Linked DNA regions of Yarrowia lipolytica. The protein of the gene in region 1 interacts with the protein of each later gene in a biochemical or structural test. Links are inferred from orthologs where the notes say so. Each region holds a gene or a part of one and is shown on either strand. Other genes may lie near its edges.

Region 1 (6,036 bases):
GCAAAAACTGAAGTACACGATTTCAGCGACAATACCAGGCATTTTTGGGGGAGACCGAGTTGGTTGGTCTGCTCCACACCTCCCAATATAAGGCAACATTTGAGTTGCACCACACATTCGTGCACCTGCATATAGATGCATTATGGATGCAGTCTTACTTAAACCTCGGAACAATGTGGGAATATACTGGAGGAACCACAACAAGGGTGCCAGTAGTTATATATCGCCCAGAAAACAGTTTCTTTATACATATATTCACAAATTTAATGTTTCAATTAAAGTTTATAGCATGTACAAGTCCTTTTATTGCACAGGAGAAACCCCCATAAACACCTATCATTAGCCAATTTATCTTCCATACCAGGATCACAAATGTCGTAAGCGATACCAAGGAAAAAAACAATTTCTCCTGAGAGCAACCAACCCAATACAAGTACGAATACTTTCATCATACAAACGTATTACACGTCATCTAATAAAACATCATAAATCATGTTAACCTATTTCAAATAGCTTCATCACACATCCAAGTGAAGTTTCTGAATTGATCCTGCATGGCGGAGGTCAGGGTGGTGGTGACGGGAGTCAGAGCCGGGGTCTCGGAAGTGAACTCCTGGTCAAAGTTAGTCACGTCTGTGGGCGACGTGATCTTGGGCACAAACGGCGGGGGGATTCGCTTGTGATAAATATCATCAAAGTTGACGTTGGCAAAGTACGGGTGCGCCATAATCTCCTCAGCGTCTCGAGGACCCGATCCCAGACGTCGTTCGGGCTCTCGCGTCAGCAGCTGCGTCAGAATAGACACACAATTACCGGGCAGAGTGATGGGGTATCGGGGCTCATCGGCCAGAATGGCGTCGAAGATTTCGTCCTCGTCTTCTCCTCGGAAGGGACTCTGTCCGAGTACCATCTGGTAGATGAGCACGCCAAAGGCCCACCAGTCGACAGCGAGGCCATATCGCTGCTCCAGCAGAATCTCCGGAGCCATAAACTCAGGAGTACCGCAGAAGGTACCTGTGGTTCGGCCATAGTCCATGTCTTCCTTACAGAGACCGTAATCGGCAATCTTGACATGTCCGTCTCGGGTGAGCAGAATGTTGTCAAGCTTGAGATCTCGGTAAATGACTCCATTGTCGTGGAAGTGCTTGATTCCAAGCAGCACTTCTGCGGCGTAGAACTGGGCCCGGCCGGGCTTGAACACACCCTCCTTCTGAATGTGCCACATGAGATCTCCTCCCGACACGTAGTCCATGACAAAGTAGACTCGGTTTTCCGTCTGGAAACATGAGTACAGATTGAGCAGGAACGGGTGCGACTCTCGGTTGGCGATCTGGAACACCCGTCGCTCGGATCTTGTGCTCTCCACCTCGTCGTTCTCAATGATAAAGTCCTTCTTGAGCACCTTGATGGCGTACAGGTTGGTCGTCTTCTTGGACTCCGCCAACATGACCTTTCCAAAGTTACCCTTTCCGAGCACCGCCAGGAAGTTGAAATCGTCCAGCCCGATTCGCGGCCGCTTCTTCTTGCCCACAACGGAATGTCGGTTGCTAGCAGGAGCGGGAGAAGCCGGGGAAGCGCCGGCTGCCTGGGTCTGGGACGCAGTGGCAGCAACAGCGGCAGCAGCCGCAGCCTGGGCTTGCTGTGCCTGCTGGGCGGCCTGTCGTTGCTGCACCTGCTGTTGCTGCGCCTGTTGCTGCTGGTACTGTTGCTGCTGATACTGTTGCTGTTGGTACTGCTGTTCACGCATCTGCTGTTCACGCTGTTGCTGTGCTCGGAGCGCCTGCTGCTCCTTGTGCTGCTGCTCTCGAGCTCGCGCATCTTCCTCGTCCCGCTGCTGCTGCTCAGCATGCACGCCAGGCACAGGCAGCGACTGGTAGCCTGAGTCAAGGGAGCCTGATGCACTGTGCTTCTTGTGCTGCTCGTCAATGATCATGCTCTTGGGAGGCGAGTAGCTGACGGAGGCGTCTGAGGCTTCAGGCTCGTTGTTGATGATACTCTTGTCAAACGCGTCCTCATCCTCCATCTTCACATCGTCCTCAACAGGAGACAGCACCTGCGACGGGCTGGGTGTGGATTCTCTGTTGGGGTAGATATCGCCCACAGAAGAGTTTCGAGGCGGATACAGGGGCTGCTCCTCTCTGTCGCGCGAGGGAGACGACTGAAACTGCTGCTGCTGAGGTGACCGAGAAGGCGACTTGGGCGAAGCAGAAGTCGGTAGCACATAACCCTGCGACTCTCGACGGGCCCTTGGGTCCAGAGTCGATGCTGTGGGGTCGTACCGTTGCTGGTGGTACGCCTGTCCTCGATCGGGGACAGCAGAAGGAGGGCCAGGGGCAGGCACTCCAGGAGGAGGAATGCCAACGAGAGAGGCTGCACTCGACGACACAGAGCCTTCCTTGGGAGGCAGAGAGGGAGCAGAACCCACCTCCTTGCGCCGCACCGTGTTCTTTCGCTCGCCCCGCATGGTCGCAGTACTATTAATGCTACTGTTAGTATCGACGGGGGTCAATGACAGACGATCGGAGCTGTTGCCGGCGCCATAGCCATTCCCATCTCTGTCTCCTGCATTGACATGCATGTGCGACGGAGTGGCACTGTACAGCGTCGACTGCTGGGACGACGAGGTCGACGTAGTGGGGTGCTGGGACGCCCGTCGGATCTTTGTCGACTTGATCTCACTGAGAATCTGATTTGCCCGCTCCATGGACATACCGCAAAAGTCGGGCACAAGGTGCTCACACTGCACGTGTGCAGTGACTCCACACTCGCCACATTTGCGCACAGACTTACGGCCCAGGGGCAAAATGTAACCGCAATGGCAGCACCAGTTGGCAGACTTATTGGTGAAGACCTGGAAACGGTGAGGAATTCGGTGGTTAAGCTTCTCCTCGTCGGGATCCGTTTCGGTGGACGACTTGGAGATGCACTTGGTGACCACCTTGGAGTAGCACTTGCCGTGGCACGTGAGCCGACAATCCTGACACTGAAAACCCGCTCCACTCAAAAAGTCACCACAGAGGGCGCACCGCATGATCGAGTAGAACTGCTGCGCCACAAACTTGTGGCCGTGGATCTCGTGCACGTCCTCCTTCTTTCGAATGGCGTTCTGACGGCCCAGACCCAGTCCTCCCAGCTCGTGGGGCCGCTTGACGCCCCGATTGGTTTTCTCGAAGCCCAGAGTTAGGTAGATCTGGCCTGCGGGCTCCACTACAAACCACTCCTCGATGGTGGGGCCTGCGTAGTTGACCACAGAAGATACTGGCCGGTCAATCTGGGGCGCCTCAAGGGTAGGCAGACCCGAACCGGTGGCACCAGAGGCAGCGGCACCTCCCCGCGAAGCAGGGTCGGCATGACCGCCAGCAGCTGTTTCGGAGGCCGCGACCCAACCTGTTGCAGCGAGCTTCTGGCCGTTCTTTCGCCGTCGAATCTCCTCTGCCACGTCGCTGATTGTGAGCCACAGGAGACCCACGGGCTTGAAGTGGTCGCCGTCTCGGTCGTAGATGATGATCTCGACCTCGTTGGCCTTGTCCACGGGGAACTGGAAGGTATCGTTCCACCGCTCGGTTCGGGACAGCTTGGTTCGGCCCACCAGCTTGTCCTCGCACTTAACAGTGACCATGGTTTCGGGCCGCTTGCCACGCACCGACGCAATGTGTTCCACGTTTCGGAGGGCGTGGACGGTGATGGTGACGATTCCCGACAGAGGACGTCTAATGTTGGGGGCGTTGATGCTGTCGCTGTCAATGGCGTCGTCAATATCAATGTGCATGTCCTGGTAGCGCTTGAGCGACTTCTTTAGCAGGCCCATCTTCTGCAACGACTCCTTGCGCATGTTTTCAATCTCCTGGATCTTCTTGGGGTCCCGCTGGTAGAGCCGTAGCGCGTTCTCAAAGCCCTCCTTGTAGTTTTTCTCCACGCTCATCTTGAACTCCAGTTGCTGCAGCATATGCTGGATCCGGGGGCCGAAGAAGGGCGTGTCGTACTTGATGAGATCGAGCTTGGTGAAGTTTGCTCGTTTTTGTGTGGGGTGTGGGCCGGGGGCCATGGCTGGGTTAGTGGGGGTGCTACGGAGAGCGTGTCTTTGCCAGTTTGCGTCGGATACTCACCTTCGGGGCGGGTTCTCAGCTTGAGCTCCCGCATCTTGCTCTCCAGGTAGTTGACATTCTTCTGGTTGTCCGTGAGCTTGGACTGGCACTGCAGTTTGAACGCCGAGTCTTGGGACGCCTGGGCGGCGGCCTTGGTGCCGCGGATGATGTTTTTCTCCACCTCAATCTGCTTGTACAGCTTCTGGATGGCCGACTCGATGTCGTCGGGGGCAGACATGGCGGTCTCTCGGGCGTGTGAGGTCGACTTTTTGTATGGGGTGCGGTGGAGGTGTGTGTGAGCTGTGCTTATTTGTAGACTTGTAGCTCGCAAATTCCCCTGGCTGGTTTAGGGGTGGTGGTGGGAGTAGGGGAGTGTGTCTGGCGGGGTTTTGCGGTGCTGGCGGGGGGCGAATGGACGAAGCTGGAGCAAAGGGCGTGAGGACAGCAAAATACCGGTTCTAGCGACCGCTCAAGGACAACAGTGGTTCTCGTCTTGGTTGGAAACAAAAACACGGCCGGCTCTTTTGAGTTGGGTCCTTGCTGACACCAAAACACAAAATTCACGTGAGTTAGTTTTCAGCTGTCTACTGCTGCAAGTCCCGGTAGTCCCACCCACAAATACACACACCACCGCACACTCTCGCACAAGACGCACGTTAAAAACAAAACCTTGTGCGCTGTCAGGATGGCCCAAAAACTTATAAATAGTAACACGCAAGCTGGAGGGCTGTGCACCACAACCAACAGGGCAAAGCGCAAGCACGTCTGCTGGAGGGAGGTGGAGGGGAGGAGAAGGCGCGGCGGGTCATGTGGAGGAGAGCGCGGACGCCTTATCCATCCCGTCAACCCGCCGCCGAGCCGCCAAACCGCCGAGCCGCCAAACCGCCAAACCGCCAAAGTCGCCCGTCACGTGTCTTGTTGTGTGTCGTTTCACACCTCCTTTCTCCCCAAACCGTCTTTCATGTTGCGTATTTATCAGATACCTAAAATGGAGAGTGCTACGATATATCCCATATTGTGTACCTACACGGTAGGTACTACAGGTAGTGCCAACGTGTAGACGAAGGTGGCTGCTGCTGAGCTGAGCTCCGTCACGTGATTGCCTGTCGGCGCGGACATATATCCCGTACTCGCTTCGTCTCTTGGTCTCTCCGCCTCTCAGTCTCTCGACTCGTGCACTCGTGCTGATCATGCACACTGCTCACTTTGCTATTATTAATGTGTGGTGCCTGTGCTTGTACGTGCTGAGTGCAACAAGCTCCCCGCCAAAAAAACACCGGCATCATCCCAACCCGCGCCAAACCGCAACAAGGAACACAACCACAAGTGGCCGGATCAGTTGAGGGCAGTACAGCACGGGTCCATGTATCGTGACAACGCGCTGACCGAAGGGAAAGTTGGTTTGTGTCCAGCGGCTGCTCCACATCACGTGCAGCCCATGACGTAAGAGGCGCATGTCTCTTTAGCCGCTCGTACAGGCCCCTGCTCGGTTCTCCCAAACGCACAGGTGACCATGTGGGCACAATTTTCCGAGCGCTGATGACGTCGTTGTGCGTGAGCTGCGAGAGGGCAGCAGGAGATATCAACAGCAGAAGATATCAACAGCAGGAGATATCAATAGCAGGAGATATCAATAGCAGGAGAGGGAATGAGCGGCAGAAGGGGATGAAGGGAAAGTGCAGTACGAGTACAATACAATACTATTGTTGATGTTGATGTGCTCTTGGGTGCTAGACGTATTCACGTCGCTATGGTCTGACAATTGATGGTAAAGTACCGACCCTTGATGGTACAGTATTGTACGAGTACTAGTACAGTACAGAACTGACAATTGATGGTGCCGTATCCACTGTACAGTACCGTACCTTGTCATACTTGCTTATGCTACACCTACGGTACAGCTTCTGATGTAGAACACAACTGTGTGAATATCCATACTGTAGAGAAGGGA
Region 2 (2,997 bases), on another chromosome or scaffold:
GGTGAATGCCCCCAGGTCAGACGATTCCTGTGTCTGAGAGACAAGACACTAACATATTTTGTACTTGCAAGATGAGTTTTCCTTCATTTTCCTCGCTGGTTAAATTTCCGTTGATTTTTTTTTGATCCGGTCAAAATTGATCGAGTTACTGTGGCTATATGGTATGGTACATATCCCATAAACACCACCATACACCTATTATCCACCACATGCATTAAAATAAATATACTTCCTTTTAGTAGTTCTCTGGGACAGTCCTATTCAGAGTCCAGTAGAGATCTTTCGGGGTTTGTTCTGAGAGAGCAGTTCTAATCACGAACTGCAAACAACCGTGTACTGGATGTCAGAAGTGTCGCCAGAGACAGATGAGAACATTATGTTTGGGTTGTCATTCGTTGGGCAGTCATTCGTTGGGCAGTAATTCGTTCGGGCTGTACTTCATACCATGCCGGAATGATTCCAGAGCCTTATCGCGCTGTACTGCCTACAGGTTCCTTCCTCTCTCTTTCAACTGCGGACAGGCTCCTTCCTTTCCTTCCTTTCCTTCTTTTCCTTGATCTTCTTCTTTCTCTCTCTCTCAAAGTACCCCAATCTGTATTCTTCCCATTGCTCGATGTTCTCGGTGCTAAACACCCTTGTATTCAGCACCAAATGAACGGTGGACGAAAAGTAGCCTCCCGTTTTCACCAACTTGACATTGAACCCGCGGAGACCTCGATTTGAGTTGTATATGAACTTCCTTGGGTAAACCAGTTTCTTGGTGTACATTCCAGAGAGATGAAACAGTCCCAGAGTTGACAGAACCGCAATCAGACAGAAGCGATGGAAAAAGAAGACGTAGGAATAAATGGAAGGGTAGATCTGAGAGTAGACCAAATACGCCGTCAAACTCAGCAAAACAAAGTAAAATGTCGAGTACTTACGCTGCGATTGCCGCTGGTTGAGATACTGCTGTCTCAGAGACTCCTCCAGGATTAGCAGATTCGAATAAATCTCCGAAGGAGACGATAACGGGGGAGGAGAAGGAGGTAACGGAATGTTCTCTGCATCTGCGGTTTTGGGCGGTTTCAACACGGGTTTTTCGCGTCGGCGTGGCTCCGTGACGCCCGCAAGCTTGAGGTTGGGCAGCAGTTCCACTTCTGTGTCTCCATCCGATTCTGGAAGGAAGTCGGGGCTGCTTTCCATGGTAATGAGAGTGACGTCGGGACTTGGGCGCAGAGAGTTTGGCGGGGAAGAATTTGGCGGCGGCAAGAGTCTATTTCCCTCTTCAGGTCACGTGATTAACAGGATTAGCGCTGACGTTATGAACCCGCTGGCGTTGTTTGCTGCTCCACTAACGTGTATCGCAGGGTGGTGGTGAGCTAGGAACGAAAATTCACAGTCTACGGTGGAGTGCCCAAATTAAGGTTTCACAACGCTGATTAGTAATCGAAGAGAAAAGGGGTCTGGGGGGAAATTAAATCCTGAGGGCGAGGGATTTGGGGGATAATAGTAGTATAATTGGAGTCAGGGAGGTGTGGGGAATCGAATGGTATGTTTGAAACATAAACATGGTCATTTTTGGGCGAGTTTGATGGGGTATTAAGTCGCGGTGTTGTAGAGTGGCTAAGGGGGAGAGATACGTAGATGTGAAATTGTATATGGGGATGAGACAAGTGGCAAAAGTGTGATTTCTGTCAATGAGTGTCCAAATTATGTCTCACTTGAGTTATAAATGTCTTCAAATGCTCAGCAATCGATCGACCATCTATAATGCGAGGGACAAAATACGCATGATTCCACAGATTTGAGACTGTTGTTGAGCTAATATGGAATTTTGGATTTGATAATCGACTTCTAAATGGATCAATAAATCTCTTATATCACTTCCTAATCTCTCTAAGTCCATTTTTCACCCCACTATTACTACCTCTATGATCATGCATACAGTTACTCGGGTCGTAGAGATGAAGTATCTAACTTGGAATCTGGCCGGTGGAATTGGGTGAATTTTTGGCTGAACAAATAAACTGTGCCAAAGACTCATCAGACCAAAATATATCTCAATATGAAGATTACTTCATCCACTATGTTCCTCCTAGTGGCCATCTTCCCTGCATCAGAATAGATTCACTCTAGAAGCGTCTATTTAGGTCGTATTGGATTTCTGAAACTTTCAGGAGATAAAAAACACCGTATTTATTCTGCTCAATCTCTTGTTGGACTTTTTTCACTTCCAAAAACCCCCAATATCTCGTCATGTTCATTTTCCACAGCCAAAATTAACTTTTCACACCCCACCAACCAATCACGTTCTGGATAAGTCCGGATCTCGCTAAGCGGCGGTCCAAATGAAAAATTACAGACAAAAAATGTATTCACCAGCCGGCTAATACCCAATAGCAACTCTTCTCATCTCTTCTGCTCCTCTCAAACACCGAAAAATGCGCTCCTGTTCTTCTACATTATCTACACTATCCTGCACCCCGTGTAAATTGTGCAGAAAGAAGTGATCCGTTTCTGAGCCTGATAGAAAGCTCCGAATGAGCCGAAAAAAGGGGATATATCCAATCACGTGACCAACACAGGTTCCTTCACAAGAACCGCCCCGCGCCATACAAATTCGGTCCGTATAATGCCTCCCTGTCCTCCATTGTACTACATTATCGGCCAAAGTTTAATTTCCATCACAATGAACCTTATTTTTTACTTACCAAAAAAAGAGGTCACGGCAAAAAAAATTATCGTCACTCCATTACACCCCCACACAACATGACCAAAGACATCATTGTGCTGATTTCCGGGTCGGGAACCAATCTCCAGGCACTCATTGACGACGCAGAAATCGGCCCCCGCATCTCGCTCGTCATTTCGTCGTCTCCGACCGCTTATGGACTGGAGCGAGCACAAACGGCCGGAATCCCCACCCACGTCCATTCTCTGGCGTCCTACTATGGCGATTTGCCCAAGGATGCCAAGACGGAGCGTATGGCGGCCCGACAGAAGTTCAACGCCGAT

The links. The genes of interacting proteins can lie anywhere in the genome.
Region 2: of the proteins of YALI1_F13339g (region 1) and YALI1_D03888g, one has a biochemical effect on the other in vitro, tested with the Saccharomyces cerevisiae proteins (2 studies listed by BioGRID). The link is inferred for Yarrowia lipolytica from reciprocal best matches to the Saccharomyces cerevisiae genes PKC1 and SPO7.

What each region holds. Positions count from the first base shown.
Region 1 is NC_090775.1:1,329,950-1,335,985, forward strand, and holds YALI1_F13339g (uncharacterized protein), read right to left. Parts: upstream 4,324-6,036; coding exon 4,107-4,323; intron 4,048-4,106; coding exon 506-4,047; downstream 1-505. Other genes in the region: YALI1_F13355g (uncharacterized protein), read right to left, coding at 5,177-5,644, 5,782-5,958. UniProt on the Saccharomyces cerevisiae protein: Required for cell growth and for the G2->M transition of the cell division cycle. Mediates a protein kinase cascade; it activates BCK1 which itself activates MKK1/MKK2.
Region 2 is NC_090773.1:386,996-389,992, reverse strand, and holds YALI1_D03888g (uncharacterized protein), read right to left. Parts: upstream 1,186-2,997; coding exon 508-1,185; downstream 1-507. Other genes in the region: YALI1_D03865g (uncharacterized protein), read left to right, coding at 1,680-1,683, 2,822-2,997. UniProt on the Saccharomyces cerevisiae protein: Regulatory component of the NEM1-SPO7 complex which acts as a phosphatase and dephosphorylates the phosphatidic acid phosphohydrolase PAH1. Essential for the formation of a spherical nucleus and meiotic division.